4 linked regions of the Arabidopsis thaliana genome follow. The protein of the gene in region 2 interacts with the protein of the main gene of each other region in a pairwise test. Each region holds a gene or a part of one and is shown on either strand. Other genes may lie near its edges. The genes, in order: AT3G43230, AT1G67865, AT1G14340 and PRA1.B2.

What was found.
Region 1: the proteins of AT1G67865 (region 2) and AT3G43230 interact in a two-hybrid assay, tested with the Arabidopsis thaliana proteins (one large-scale study listed by BioGRID).
Region 3: the proteins of AT1G67865 (region 2) and AT1G14340 interact in a two-hybrid assay, tested with the Arabidopsis thaliana proteins (one large-scale study listed by BioGRID).
Region 4: the proteins of AT1G67865 (region 2) and PRA1.B2 interact in a two-hybrid assay, tested with the Arabidopsis thaliana proteins (one large-scale study listed by BioGRID).

The regions. Positions count from the first base shown.
Region 1 is NC_003074.8:15,205,330-15,210,361, reverse strand, and holds AT3G43230 (RING/FYVE/PHD-type zinc finger family protein), read right to left. Parts: upstream 2,996-5,032; 5' UTR 2,852-2,995; intron 2,623-2,851; 5' UTR 2,587-2,622; coding exon 1,711-2,586; intron 1,572-1,710; coding exon 1,371-1,571; intron 1,278-1,370; coding exon 1,082-1,277; intron 948-1,081; coding exon 763-947; 3' UTR 509-762; downstream 1-508. Other genes in the region: AT3G43240 (ARID/BRIGHT DNA-binding domain-containing protein), read left to right, coding at 51-141, 223-330.
Region 2 is NC_003070.9:25,445,636-25,449,565, forward strand, and holds AT1G67865 (uncharacterized protein), read right to left. Parts: upstream 1,988-3,930; 5' UTR 1,874-1,987; intron 1,318-1,873; exon of another isoform or gene 1,220-1,317; 5' UTR 1,053-1,219; coding exon 825-1,052; 3' UTR 542-824; downstream 1-541.
Region 3 is NC_003070.9:4,895,713-4,899,547, reverse strand, and holds AT1G14340 (RNA-binding (RRM/RBD/RNP motifs) family protein), read right to left. Parts: upstream 2,203-3,835; 5' UTR 2,098-2,202; intron 1,854-2,097; 5' UTR 1,840-1,853; coding exon 1,721-1,839; intron 1,630-1,720; coding exon 1,554-1,629; intron 1,469-1,553; coding exon 1,355-1,468; intron 1,198-1,354; coding exon 772-1,197; 3' UTR 513-771; downstream 1-512. Other genes in the region: AT1G14345 (NAD(P)-linked oxidoreductase superfamily protein), read right to left, coding at 1-372.
Region 4 is NC_003071.7:16,863,919-16,867,480, reverse strand, and holds PRA1.B2 (prenylated RAB acceptor 1.B2), read left to right. Parts: upstream 1-1,893; 5' UTR 1,894-2,105; coding exon 2,106-2,747; 3' UTR 2,748-3,035; downstream 3,036-3,562. Other genes in the region: AT2G40390 (neuronal PAS domain protein), read right to left, coding at 1-96. UniProt on the Arabidopsis thaliana protein: May be involved in both secretory and endocytic intracellular trafficking in the endosomal/prevacuolar compartments.

The sequences.
Region 1 (5,032 bases), on a different chromosome or scaffold from region 2:
TAATAACGCCTTGTTTGTTAACGCGCTTTGGTTTGGTTTGGTTGAAACAGTAGCACAGCTGGTGACTGGGTGAACTGTGGATCATGTGGAGAGTGGGCTCATTTCGGATGTGACAGAAGGCCTGGCCTCGGCGCCTTCAAGGTAACTAAACGAACACATCGTAAACTCGTAATAAGCATCAATGAATAATATGTGTACTGATGCAACATATGATATATACAGGACTATGCAAAAACAGATGGGTTGGAATATGTGTGCCCAAATTGTAGTGTCTCAAATTACAGGAAGAAGTCTCAGAAGACCTCCAACGGTGGCTTGCTTGTACCTTAGCTTTGTACCTTAGGTTCATGTTTCTTCTTTTGTTGTACTTTTGCCTTGGAACCAAATGATTGATTGATTCCTCTAATGTTTCACGAGTTTTTTTGCAATGCAAGGTTTTTTTTCTTTCCATTATCTTTATAATGAATCGGAGAATGTAAAAATAGTGAACGTTATAGATTTTGCATCATATTTAAGGGACTTGCCAATATCATTTTATCTGTAACAAATGAATAGACATGCAAATAGAACCAAGCTTTGATAAACAAGCTTCAAAAAGGTAAACAAGCTTTGATAAAATAAGTAAATCCCAAATCGTTCACACAGTTTGGGGAAGCAACTGTTTGGTTCTAGAGAGAAACAATTTATGTACATTTACACTTTAATAGAAACGAATTTGAGAAGCGTATATATACAAAGCGTAGTTTGTAATGTGAATGGAGATTACGGGCGCAAACGAGCATAGAGCTCTCGGAGGGCGGTGTACAACGGTTCAGCTGCCTTGGGTTGATCCACCATCCCAAGTAGAATGTCCGATGTGGATAGGTATGGATCACCATAGAACTTTACATTCATGTCCCTTCTTGTTGCCACCAGATTTCCTTCTAGAGATACTCCCACAAATGCCCCTGTTCACACAACACAACAACTTCTCTCAGGTTATAGATTTACATTTCAACTTCCTCTGTATTATTGAGCTACGAGTCTGGCCAAATTATAGATAAAGAGAAAACTTAAGGCATGAAGTTGAGATGGGGAAAACCTTTGCTGCGGCTGTAAGTATAGCAGACACCAGAGCCTTTGTCACCAGCTCGAAGGTCAGCCTCCAACACTCTCCCGATAGGCCCTGCTGCTGCACTGCATCCCGCGCCTAGAGAGAAGTGCATTCTGCTGCAGAATGTCTTCACGGCTTTCACATCATGAAGCACTATTATGAAGTCCATCAACTCACCTCCAATCTGACAAAAAGAGTACAAATCTTCTTATGTGGCTATTGAAAACGCATCTTTAACTCTAACATGCATGTCTTGAATGGAAAAGATGAAGTTTACCTGTGCACCCCATCCAAGACCTACTGATAGTATGGCAGATGGAGCAGACCATGACCCGTCTGGTCTCCGAGATATTACCAGACCAGTCCCGAGTTTGTATGACAGTAAAGCCCCAGCCTTGGCAACCGTTATGATTGCCAAACCTTTAGCTCGACTAAGAACAGCATGCGGTATGGATTTCTCAGGGTCTAGTCTTGCTACCTGTGTAATTCGGTAACTAATTAAACAGACACTTACAAACATGGAATGTGCACCGTAACATTTGATACTCAATTTTCTCTACTCGAACATCTCTACAGAACAAATATGTACTTGAAAAAACAAAGGATGAGAATCAAACCTGGCAGTAACCTCTCAACGTATTAGCAGCCTTGTATATCTCATCTTCCATGGATAGACCAACAGGGAGATTCAACCATCCTCTTGAGCAAGTCCAATCAACAACATCATGCTTTGCAACTTGCACAGCATTACTAATAGAGTTAATAAGAACACATTGCAAAGGATCAAGCCTCTCGTAGCAAGAATCACACACTCTCTGAGGATTCCTTTCCCGAAACCGACTAGGCATCAAACACCGCCCTTTCGAACAGTTTCTACAAAATATCCCTCCGCAGAACCGACAATGATGCCTACCACACGTAATTGCAGTAAAAGGAGTAGAACACTGCATGCAAGTACTAGCTAAACTATCAGGTAGCCACTCAGGAGGTTCAGCTTCAAGCAACTCCTTGTAAACACTATAGTTTATCCCACTAGGTTCAAGTAGAGGCGGAGCACTCGGTATGTAAACAGACGAATGAACAAAAGTATCCCCGTTCGTGCCAGAGCCAAGAAACGAAACATTCGAAGACGGGTTTTTCTGATCTAACGGATTCTTATTCCGTCCAGTAACAATAGCAATCAACCCAGTTAAAACGTTTTTCAAGTTAACTTCAGGTTTCTCATTTCCTTGAATCGGCGGCGTCGTCGTTGTAGAGAGCTCGCCGGATGAATCATATCCGTCGTCAACGTAATCTCCTGAGTCGATAATCGGATACTCCACCTCTTTCTTTGTGGGGATTGATTGAACAGACCATTTAGGTCCATCTTCATAACCACCACCACTACCACTACCACTACCATCATCATCATCATCATCATCATCATAATCATCATACTTGAATTTGATGTTTTCTTCAGAATACGGAGAAGCTTTTCCGTTGAGAGTAGCCATGCCTTAAAAAATGAAACTTCACTAAAATTGAAAAATCTGCAAAAGTAGAACATATATTTATATCAAAACGCAGATTTTCGAAGACCTAATCAATCAATCAATCAAAAGTTTCTAATAAAACTACATAACTATTGAAACCCTAATAAAGAAGCCGTAGCTTTGATTTGAATTCGAATCGGAAGACGAGGAATTACAAAAATCACAGAGAATCTTGGGAACTACAAAATCAAAAGATTTAATTTCAGGAATCGATAGGAGAAAATACCTGTGGTTTGATCGCGAAGAAACGAATTAGGTTAAGAAAATTTTGCAAATCCGATTTATGGGATTGAAGAAGAAGATAAGTAGCAAGCAACAAGAACACGGCGCCTCGGGGAATATTTTATTCCATTTATTTCGGTTTTCCGGTAAGCAAGTCATTATAGACTTCGTATATATGTGAGGGCCCAATGGGCCTTGAGCCTTTCAATATTTTTTTGGCTATTGCTTGAAACGATTCAAAAAGTGAATATTTGATAAATTAATTTACTTGGTAATCACTACATGTTTATATACTTATTAGAAAGTTAGAAGTTAGACCATAGTGATATCGGCTCAAGTTCTCTGTCTTTTTTTCATGCGGTCTATCTTTGTAAAGCCATTTTAAGTATGTTTAAGAGGCTGGCCTCTGGTTTCTTGCATGTGTCGTGTGGGGTCGTTTATTGCATGCATGTCGGTATTAGAGCACACATAAAATCCAAACTATTATCTTTATAAACGCTCATCCAAACCCATGTAATTAGGTTATCTAGCAAGTAGTCTCTCACATATATAGTTATGTTTGTGAGCATTGTGATTAACCTAGAGAGTTGTCATTTGGAACAACTCTCCTTCTTCATCATTTTGTGAAATCAAATATAAAGTGTTAGTGTTTTTTGGTGAAAAACCTAAAGCTTCTTTCTTTCTCTTCTTTATATTTCGATAAAAGGTCATTGAGCTATTGTATTTTCAATCTTAGATTTCTATGTTAATAAGCTCATTTGAGCATAAACCATTCATGTTTTAGAAATGTCTTCATGGTATCAGAGCCTAGGCGATTGATTTGGGTCTTATTTTCACAAGCTTCTAGCTTCCGCTCTTCTGGTTTTGCGTTTCTTGGCGTCAGAGCTTGTGAATGAAAACGCCAAGGTGTTGCAAACGTCGCTATTCTCCATTGGATGATGTGAATAGAGAATGCTCCAAACTAAAAGACATTTGCGACAAAGAAGAGGCAAAGTATAAATATCACATATCGTGTTTTCAAGCCCTTTCTATCTCAATCCCATCAAGTAACCACAACAACACTATTCAAGGTAATGAATTTGTCCTTTCATCTGAGACAGAACAAAGGTTATTGATGGGTTGAGAAAAAAAAGAGGGAAACATGGCTAGAGATATAGGGTTAGATCATGAGAGTAGTCATTTGTTTAGTGATTCCGCTGGTGGCTTAGATTTATAGACGTGGAATTTAAGAAGCTAGAATGCAACATAACTTACTTGGGTTTGATAAGGATGTGTTTAAGGGAGCAAGTTTCTGGTTTTGCTGAGCGCATAGAAGCTGTTTGATAAAATGTCAAAGAGAAAAACAGATTGTGTAAATGCAAATTGTGGTTGGCTAAAGAATAAAAAGCAGATAGCAAGTAGGATCTAAGTAGTTGTGGGAAGAGAATTCTTCTTCTTCATGGGACAGCTTAGGGGAGTTAAACCAGATAAAGAAAACTCGGTTTCTTCGTGAGACAAATAGGTCAAAAGAACCTGAAAAGTTGTCACACTAAAGACTGATTTTATGGTGAAGAGATGCTACTATCTACATCCAAGTGATCTTGCTTTGTCTACTCATGCTCTTGTCAAGTCATCTCCATTTGTGCTGACATTTCATTTGAAGTTCAAACTTGTCATGTTGCTTTCGCACCACGCCAAGTTTGCGGAGAAATATTAGAGCACACATAAAGCCCAAGCTATTATCTATATAGAAGCCCATACAAGCACATGTAATTAGGTTATCTAGCAAGTAGTCTCTCATATATATAGTCATGTATTGTGAACATTGTGATTAACCTAGAGAGTTGTCATTTGGAACAACTCTCCTCCTTCACCATTTTATGAAATCAAATCTGAAGTGTTAGTGTTCTTGGTAACAAACCTAAAGCTTCTTCCTTTCTCATCTTTACATTTCAATAAAGCTCATTGAACTATTGTAGTTTTAATCTTAGATTTTTATGTTAATAAGCTCATTTGAGCATAAACCATTCATGTTTTAGAAATGTCTTTAGTCGGGTGTCCTTGAATGAACCAAACTTTGCATTGTTGCTTTGCTGCGTGGATTGATCTTGACCCTGTTATAATAAATAATAATATGAAGGAACCAGCAACGCCATGGAGAACAACCTATTTATCTAAGGAAAAGCTCACTAAGTTCATTGATCAT
Region 2 (3,930 bases):
TTATAAAAGTGTAATAATCTAACTATTCAACTTAGACTCCATAACGCTGTAAATTGCAAGAAAACATTTCTATTAGTATTAAGTTCAAGAATTAGTCTAGACTTTGGATTTAGGAAGACTCTGATTATTGGAAAAAAAAAAAACATTGCTTGTGTAAGGTTCGTTTGATTTTTGAGATAAAAGTGTAGACAACTCTATCAATGACATTCATGGAATTCTTCAAGAAATTCGACAGCTTCAAGGTTGTTTCCGTTCTATCTCCTTTAGTTATATTTCTCGTCTTTCCAATTCAAAAGGCAGACGCTGTCGCCAAATATGCTATCTGTGTTTGTGTTTCCCTCAAGAACATTGCATAACTGAAAAGGCTAATCGAATCAACAAAAAATCCTATGATCCGTCTAATTTAGTAAATGAATTACTTGTTTGAATCAAATCTATGAGCTTAAAGTTTTGGTCGATAAATGCAAAATAAATTATCTAATTATTTAGATGAACCAGAAACATTAAAACGACATATCCTACTGCACTACGTAACTTATAAATTCATTAGGGTTTTCGTTACACCATAACGTTACTTTTCAAACTTAATTGTGTGCAAATAAATTCAATCTTTTCACGTGTGGAAATAACTGTTAATATACATCACTTTTATTAAACACACTCCTTTTATTAATCATAAAGTTCATAAAATTAAACAAGAAGACTTTTCATTAAAAGTCTCCTATATTTTTGGTAAGATACTGAAACATGTCCATCTTATACATACATCGTATACATTTATTATTTTGGATACATAATCATTACTGGGTGTGGTCAGGAGTCCTTTACTCCCTGTCTTTCTGGCGGCGGCCGCCGGAGTTCTCGGATGCCTTCACTGCACCGCCATTACCATTGCCGTAGTTTCCCGGACTCGTCATATTGTTGTTCTCGAAGCGACCGGTGCTCTGATAATTATTGGGCCATATCCCGACCCCTTTGGCAAACCCATCGACCGTTCCAAGAATCCCTCCGGTAATCCCTCCGGCAACCCCAATAATAAGCTTATCAAGCATTTTTCTTTATATTTATCTACTTGTGTTAGTTTTCTTTGATATGGATAAGTGTTTTAATCTTTCAGATGTTTTCTATATATAGAAAAAATTTCTTGTATATAGTTCCCTTTTTTATGATCTGAATCTTATTCTCTTAGTACCATCACTACCGAAAGTTGAATAGATATGTTTGTTCTAATTCCGTTCGTCGTTTTTAATAATGATCACATGGGAAAGATCCAAACTAAGGAGGTTTCTGTCTACGGACACGTTTTCTTTAAAAAATCAGACCCTATAGACCCTCAAAAATAGATGTTGTATGTGTATCAACTAATGTTTAGTCCAAAAAGGCATGTTTTGACAGCAATACTAGTAACGAACATTAGAAAAGATGTGTGGATAAGTTTAGTGTAAGGCCCATCTCCTTCGTGGAATGGTCTCTTCAATCGTTATGATGGAAATTGCATCTAATGCTTGCAAAGTTTGAAGAGTCTCTCTTAACCAAGTGATAGCGGATTCTCATTGTTGGTCTAGTCCATGAAAAGAATTTCCTTAAACGTGGAATTATCTAACTATCCCGCTTAGCCACTCGTCGACGCTTTCAGTGGCAATAAAACTCATATTAATACTTGGCTCAGGAATTAGTTTGGACTTCGGTCGACAAAGACCTAGTCCCGATTATTAAAAAAAAAACGTTAATGACAGTGTAAAGTTTATTTTAAAAAACAGATTTCTATGAGGTAAAAGAAGAAAATGTTATTCCCTTTGGAGATTATTCGAAATATCATCGTACGATCATATGAATCTTATTCTCTTTTCTACCACGAAAGTTGAATAGTCATGTTTGTTCTAATTCCGTTCGTCTTTTAAATTAAAGATCAGTCCTATTCATATGGGAACATTTCGGAATTGGCTGAGTATTAATGGAAGCATAATAATGAAACTGGAAATTAAACCTAGTCTAGTTCTATTTATTACGGATTTTATTTGATTTTATATTAAATTTGTTTGAGTTAAAATTTTCATTCATTTTTGGATTTCGACGAAGCGTTGTGTAACTTTTTTTTTTTTTTTTTTGTTCTTTGCTAATAGCCACGTAACGTGCATGACATGAGTAAGCCGGCCACGTTAGCGAAAAGTGGGAAGTAACACAAGAAGTCTAAAGACCATGGGATATTCAATGGTGAGGGTTAAAAAATACCGAGATTAAGTAGGAAGAAGATGAGGAAAGAAGACTTGTGTTAGAATATTGGAGACAAACCAATGATCCTTAGACGAAGCAAAGAAGAGAACCTCCAAGAGAAGTAACGGTGATTGTGGTGACCGTAGGGATTACTTTCAGCTTTGGTAACCATAAGTAAAATGATGATAAATTCAATTTGGATAGAAAAATACACCACTTAAGTAGCATCCCACATCAATCCACGAAACTGAAAAGATCAAAACATTTGCTATTAAAGGAACTATTCCAAAAATTTAGTGAAACGTGCCTAACATAACACATATACAACCGATAATCCGATATGTACTTTGAAAATCGGAGGAAGCCCACCAAATATACCAGAAAGTTGGCTAGATCTCATCAAGTAAATGCAAGATGGTTGTCACCATGATGATGGTGTTAGAAATCATAAAATATGTAAATATTTTTAACATGTTCATCCATCAGTTGAGCCACGGTCAATCTGGGTCGATCCTGACAGCCCTATAACTCGGAAGATAGCTTGGTTCGCTGTCCATGTCAGGTGTCAGGTTAATAATCATTGGATCAGGCTGAATTGGATATCTTTCTATTATTTCTTCTTTCTTATTCCAGGTTTGGGCCAAATGTTCTTGGAAGATTAAAACTAGAGACGCACGGTTCAATATATATTCAACAAGTAGAAGGAAAAATAACTTTGTAAAATATAAAGAGGTGGGCCAATGGGTTTAGAGGAGAGTTGCCAACGTATATATTCCCATATAAAGAAAGAGAGAACGGTAAACGATAACTACTATTGGTTATTCAGTCGAACTAGATGCCTTTAATAATTGATCAAATTGGCGTGTTTTGACCGCAACATTATCAAAGAACATACGAAAATATGCGTGGATATGGTCAATGTTAGGTTCATCTCCGTTGTGCAATGGCCTCCCTCTTCAATCGTTACGATGGAAATTGCTTCTAATGCGCAAATTTTAGAGTCTCTCTTAACCAAGTGGCGGTTTTGTGTTGTTGAGGATTCATTTTATGGGTCTAAAAAAATAATAAAAATCGCCTCAAACGTGAACTTATCTAACTTTCTTGCTTAGCCATCCGTCATCTCGAAACTCATATTTTTATTGGACTCAGGAATAGACTTGGTCTAAAAAGACCAGATTATAAAATGTAATTAAAAATCATTATTGACAATGTAGAAGTTCATTTTTTTAATCAACAGTTTTTTTTTTTTGATTAAACGATGTAAAGTTTTTTTTCTTCACAGTGTAAAACATTAGTTATTACAAACGGAATCCAAGAATGTGAAGTTTATTTTAAAACAGATGTTTTTTTTCTTTTTTTTTTGGAGGTGAAAGAAGTTATAAATTACTTATAAGTTATAAATTCACTACTGCACCACTTACTTATAGGTTATAAATTCACTAGGGTTTTTATTACACCACAATGTTACTTTTAACTTAATTTTGTGCAATATAATCACCCCTTCCACGTGGGGAAATCAACTGATAATATACATCACTTTTATTAAACATAAGCAGCAACAACAACACTCTTTAGAAATCATAAGGTCATCAAACGAAAGCACTTTTTTGGGATAAAAGCCACCTATTTAGTTTTGGTACGATACAGAAACATGTCCATCACACACATACATCTTATAAATGTATTATTTGGGTACATAATCATTACTTTCTTATT
Region 3 (3,835 bases), about 21 Mb from region 2:
GAGTCCCGAAATAACCGTCACGCGGAGGTTAGTGAACCTGTAACGAAGGTTAAAAGCTCGAGACACTGCAGCTAAGGTTAGTGGGAGCCAAAGGATGGTTAGACCTAGAATGAGATTGGCTAATAGATCTCCGTAATGAGCTCCGCCGTCGAAGTAGACTGTTTCTTTCTTCGCCGGTTTGGAATCGGAAGGAACGGTGGATGCGGATGCGGAGGAGGAAGCTAGGAGCAATCTTTGAATGTGTCTTTGTGGTAGTTTCGTGGAGGGAGACAATGAAGAAGCGGGGAAGGAGAAGGTGGTTGAGAGGAGGAGAGATTTGCGAACGACGGAGGTTACGGCGGTTGACGGCGGAATTGAGGAAGAAGCTGCCATGAGAGAATGATTTGAGTGACTGGAAGATTTGGAGTGAAAAGATGATGACTTCTCTGTTTTTTGGATTTGATTTTTTGGCGCAAATTGTGCCACGTGGCCTAAGCTCTATGGATACAACATCTATCCAAATATTGAATCAATATCAACCATAGAATGATATAAATCAGAAATTATATAAGAAAAAAGATTATGCTACTAATGAAGAGTTAAGATGTAGGTAATGTAACCAAACTCTATATCAGCATCATCATGTGAGAGTATACTTTGATAGATTTCTATATGGTATTCGTTTTGATAAAATTTGGTCTTATCACACTTCATGAGCCAGTTATTCATGATCAGCTTTGCATCATATATATTCACAGACGAATACGGTTCTGAATCGGGCCATTGGTCTATTCACTGCCTTGAGCCGCGGGTACCGAGATCAGATGCGGCTTTAGCAGCTCTCTCTAATGCACCAGACAGCCAAAGAGCTCCGCTGGAGAAGTAACTGCTATTGACAACACTAGTTGCAGCTGCTGCCGCGGTTCTTCCTGTGGCAAAGACAGCTGATTTAGCTGTATCTGAAACATGATACCTTTGGTCAGTCATTCTAACAGCTTCAAGTCCGGTAAAGATTTTGTCAGTAAGACCAATCCTCTGTTCTAGTTGAGATACTCTAGCCACCGCTGCAGCTGATACGCCGTGGGATTCATCAAAGGCTTTAGCTTTGCTTAAAGCGTCTTTGCCTAGCACGAATCCTGTGGCAAGCATTATTTTCACCACTTCTTGAGCTTTTGTCACTGCTTCTCCAGCGTTGAACTCGCTTCGTTGAGCATAATGCTACATGATTGAAGAACGAATAAGCTTTAGAATTGAGACCAAGCATCAAACTTCAACATAAAGACTACTGAACCAGTGACCGTTAGATTTAACTATTTTAACAAAAAAAGAAGACAGAAAGATCAAAGTTGAGAGAAGTGTCAAAAGCGATACATACTTGTGAGTCCGATTCATCTTCAAAACCTCGCGAAGTCGCATTCCAGAAATCGAACTCTTCGTGATGTTGTCCCCAACGAGTTATACAAACACGCTGATCCAATATCGTTGCGCCCTGAAGATATCAAAGAAGTGAGTGATTTCTCAAGAGACATCCAAAAAAGATAGAAAGAGTGAATCAAATCCAAACTAACACTTACAGTGAGTAAAACAGCAGTTTCTTGAGAATAAGAATCCTTAAACATCACATAAGCAGTACAAGCTTGCTCACCCGACCTAGTCTCATTAACAACATTACAAAGTGTACTCTTTTGAATCCAGAATAAGCAAACAAACAACAAACTTGCTAAAAAGTAAAAAGACTCACCTGACAATATCAATATCTTGGATAGTACCAGAGAAAGAGAAGAAATCGATAAGATCATTATGAGTAACAGATGGAGATAACCCAGTAACTTCAACACCATATCCAAATTGATGATCCATCTCTGCTCAATAAGCTAAAAACAAAACAAAAAACCTAAAAATTTCAACATATCCTAAGTCAATAAATTAAATTACTTCCAGTTCGTGATTCAACTTTGGGAACTACATAGAACTTTCCGATTTAGCTTTACATGATTTGGGATTGAAATTTTCAAGCGAAATTTGAGCAAGGACAGATTGCCAAATATGTTCAGACCTAAATCGTTGATTCACTAAGCTCTAGAGAAGAAATTTAAGGAATCGAAGAATAGAAGTTACCTGTTGTAGTTGTTGTTGACCAACGGAGATCACACACAGAGAAGCTTGAAAGAGAGACAAAGGTGATGAATTGATGAAGTTGATGATGTGAGTGGGAAAGAGAAGGACTACCTTTTCAGTGAACGAAAAAGACGCAATTTTAAAAAGCTAAAAACTGCGCCGTTTAGTAACTCAATGTTGGGCCTTTAATGTCTTGAGTTAGCCCATATCGTTAACGGTTCTAAATGTAATAAAAAATTCTACATGAAAGGCCCAATGTTGTTTGATTATTTTCCAGTCTCAAACAACCCATAATCACAAATATTTTTTGAAACATAAATTTTCATCTTATGCTATTTTTTATTTTAAAAATCAGTCTTTACATATTAAAATTAAATCATTAATCATTACTAAGTGTTTGTACAAGAAGCAAAAATTAACAATCTATAGACGATTTTGTTTTTTTTCAGCAACGATTTTAACATTCTAGAACCTTTTTTATACCTTAGTATTGCATGTATATATAAAAATTGGAGTAATTTTAGATATTATCTGTCTAACCGTCCAAAGTCCAAACAGGTAAAAGTTCTCTAAGTGATAACTTTTTAAAATCTCTAAAGAGACAAATTTGACAAGTGTATGTGATATAAATACTTATGTTACTGTTAATACATGAGAGAAATTCAACGGAAAAGAAAGTTAGACCATTTTCATTGGGGGTTTTTTATAAGAGTTTCTCACAATTAAAAAATAAAAATAATAAAAATGAAGGAGAGAGAGTAGAAAGTTTCTTACTTGAGAAACTCTGAGATATTCTCTACAATCCATCATGATAATTCCCTTTTAATTATTGATTCAACTTTTTAATAAAAATATTTTTTTAATCAAAAAATCAAATTATAATATAATATTAATTTTTTTTTGTTTGAGAAACTTTGTGGGTTTTTCATGGATGGAGATGCCCTTAACTAAAAAGGAGAAAAAGAAAAGACGTGTGCCTAACAAATGTTTGATGTAATTGGTAAAAAAACGCAAAGAACATTATTATTATTAATATTCTTTGCATATGAGCCGTTGGCCAAATCAATACTTACGTCTCTCTTTCTCCATCTCTCATTGTCTCTTTCTACTTCTTTCCACGGCCACGTCCGTCTGTCAAAATTTACTAGTTTTTAATTCAGATTGATCTAGTCAGAATCTACTTTTTTTTTATGTGTGTGGTTCATGTTTCTATATTCTGACCCCTGCTGCAGTGAATTGCTATTTATGTATTTTTCATGCAAAACCAAAATTCACTGCTGGAAATGTATATTTTTCATATATGTAAACACCAGATAGTTTAATTTTGTTTTTTCACTTGTCTACCAAAATTAGAACTTTTATTAAACAACAACAATAAGGTGCTTGCGACTATAGCTTTAGAAGTTCAAGTATATGGATTATGGAACTTCTAAAAATTGCGACTATATATAAGCAAAAAACATATATTTAAGAAAAAAATAAATGTTCTAAATTACAGGAAATAGTTGAATATTGGTCCTCCAAATACAATTATCTTCACCATATATGATTATAACAATAAAATATAAAAGGTTGACCATTGACTAATGTATATATTCTATAGCTAGGTTAGACGTTTTGATTCGGATTTTGAATTTCATAGTGAAAGATTTTGATATTGAGTTGACGTCAATTCGGAGATCTACAACAAGACTACAACGTGTTTTATCAAACTCACCTGTTTTTCTTAAATCATAAT
Region 4 (3,562 bases), on a different chromosome or scaffold from region 2:
GCAAATACACATGGACATTAAATTTCCTTTCCATAGAGAAAGAGGAGGAAGAGTTTGAAGCCAAGCAAACGCATCAGGTGTGTCACAAGAAGCCATTAGAGCTAATATTGAATATCTAGTTGTTGTTCTAGATATGTGTGGTATAGAGAGTATATGATTAGAAGACTAGATTTATCATTTATATATAGAGAGAACATTTTAATGAGTGGAAGAAAAGTAAAGGAAGAAAGATTCGCTTATTTTTTTCAAAAGGTAAGCTAAACAAAATCATGAACTATTTTACGTAAACCAGAAAATATAGAGCTACGCACGAACACGAGACGTCTCTTTAGTAAAATATTGAAAATTTGAAATGTGATAATGATTAAGAGTCCTGCAAATTATGAGATAACGTACAAGGAAAAAGGTTTAGATGATAATTAGAGTAGCTAGACCGTTAAGAGGGATGTAATTAAATTGATAAAGTACGTGCTATTCAAGATTCTTCCATATGTGGATTTCAACCCGAATTTCCAAGAAATATTCTTGATTAGGCCGACGAATATTGTTATTCGATGCCTCTATTCTACTCAATAATGTTTCTTCGTCTTTATTTAGTTTACTAATTATATGTTTGATACATAAATAAATACGAATTATGGAGTGTGTTTGTATATACATAAATACGAATACGAATTATGGAGTGTGTTCAAATAATTATACATAAATAAATAAATACGAATTATGAATTATATACAAATATAAATTATATACACTTGAAGCCTGACGATTACAATAGCAGCTGATCATTATCTTCGGGGTGAATTCAAATTATGGATTGTGTTTGATTTCCTCAAGTCTTAATTTTCATCTACTTTTCAAACGACTAATTAATAGTGGCTACATAACTAACGACTCGATGATAAACACTCCAAAAAGCAATCAATCACTTGAGCAAAAGTTCAAAAGAAAACACTCCAAAAAGCAAACGCAAACACCAAACAAAACAAAACTCAAGTAGAGTTTTAGATAAAGCAACAGTAGAATTTTAGAAAAACCAAATTAAAACACCAAGTGTTTATGCCAAATAAATTGGCTAGACGAAGCAAAACAAGAACACATTATTGATAGTGTAGATTTGGAGTTCACTAATTGATAGTGCAACGTTTGAGTTCAACATTGCCTAGGCTGAGTGAGAATATCTTATTGTTTCCATCCACGAATTTGAGAAAGTAACTACATGTTACCTTTACCTTCTTGTTATTCTCGTCAACCTCATTTATCTCGGTCATCTCAACATGAACAAGTTCCGCAAACCTCCATTTGTTTTCATTATCTCATTTTGATTGTCCCAATCATGTCAAACTCATCTTTTATCGCTTGCACCCCCTTCTTCATGTAGTCTCCACCACCGGTTGCATAGGCGTCTTTAAAAATGCTCTCGAGTTCCCTCCAGTTGTCTTTGCCCCAAGTTCCTGGTGTCTCAAGACACCATAATTCATATATAACTCATAATTCATATTTATTTATGTATATAATTTGTATTTGTATATAATTCATAATTTGTTTAGCTTCAAGTGTACATAATTTGTATATAATTTAATTTCACAGTTTATAGATATATTTAGTAAACCTTTATCATTCATGATCAATTGATCATATGATTGTTTCATTTGTTCAACGAGAACACTCATAGGGTGGGAAATGAGATGATAATTATTGAAATGATCATATAAACAATTGTAGGAAGTCGTAATTTATCTGCAAATAAAATTAGAATATTATTAACTACACTAATTTACTAGTTTGTGTTGTGTTATCCTTGTAACATCATATAGATACAAACCACTGAACCAGTAAGATTGTTTGTTTGTTGAAAAAAAAAAAATGGTTTTATGAACCAATAGTGGAATATATTGGGCCTCTTCCAACATTATAGACCCATCTAAAAATTGCTATTAACTCCAACTTAATATATTGGGCCTATTCCAAAACATTATAGGCCCATAAAATTTAGGCCTTTAGAATATCTAACACGGTTTTGCCGCAACTTCAGTTTCCACTAAAATCGGAACAACAAATTCACACTCTCTCCGCCGCGCACAGACTCACCGACACCACCAATAATGTCTTCTTCTCCGGCGATTCTTCCCGTCACCAACCAGCAAGCAGCCACTCAATCTCAACCTCCAATCAATTCTCACGCCTTCCGTACTTTCCTCTCACGCCTCTCGTCCTCTCTCCGCGAAAGCCTCTCTCAACGCCGTCCATGGCTAGAACTCGTAGATCGGAGCTCCTTCGCTAGACCTGACTCTCTCACCGATTCCTTCTCCCGGATCCGTAAGAATCTCGCTTACTTCAAAGTCAATTACTCCGCAATTGTCTCGTTAGTCCTTGCTTTCTCCCTCCTCTCGCATCCATTCTCGCTTCTCGTCCTCCTCTCTCTCTTAGGCTCCTGGATGTTTCTCTACCTCTTCCGATCTTCAGATCAGCCTTTGGTTCTCTTTGGTCGTAGTTTCTCAGATCGTGAGACTTTGCTTGGTCTTGTTTTGACTACGATTGTGGTTGTGTTTATGACGAGTGTTGGATCTTTGTTAACATCGGCGTTAACGATTGGAATCGCGATTGTTTGCTTACATGGTGCGTTTAGGGTTCCTGATGATTTGTTCTTGGATGAACAAGAGCCTGCTAATGCTGGTTTACTCTCGTTCATTGGTAATTCTGCTGCTACTTCTGCTGCTGCTTCTGTTGTTGCAGGACGAGTTTGAGAAGCTCGAATTTGATGATTCTGATCCTAGAGAACAAACGAAACCTGGATTCTCAGGGTTTTTAGTTATGTTTTGAGTATAGATTCGATGAAGATCTGTAAGTGTTAGATCTAAAGATGCATTGTTGTGTTGTATTCTTCAATTTCGTCACAATTTAGAAAATTTGGAGCTGATCCTTCTCAAGTATTGTAAGATCTCATTTACCTTAAATCAATTTGATACTCTTTGCCTTCATCACCATATGTTTGAGTTAGATTTAGACTAAACCAGTGAAGATTATAGTTTGACCAAAGTATTAAGGATTAAACAAACAACATGTAGTTTAACAACATACGTGGTAGATGTAAATCTTGTAACTAGTTATGTCTATGTCTCTCTAGCTACCAACTATTTTATTCTTCCACAAGTTTCCTCTATCTCGAAAGCGAACAGCCAATACTGTGTACGAATTTGCTGATAGTAAGAGGGTTATATCATGGGAAAGTTTCCCACTGGATTTACATGTTTGGCCAATTTGACAAAAACGACACACGTTTAGTTTGGGGATTTTGTCTTAAAAACTCGGCTGCCAAAAACAAACTGAAGATTCGGTCACCTGAATTGTCTTTTTCGGTCAAAGTCTCACTGAGTTGCTTCTTTCTTAGATATAATATAGGTGACCTGTTTTTAATCTTCATAACATGAGATATATTTTCGTGGAATGAGTTGTGTCTTGTGAAATCTTTTTTCTTTGGTTTTAATGTTAAGAATGTCTTGTGAAATCTTTTCCTGGATTCTAATTATTGGTGAGAATGTGAGATAAAAACAACACTTAG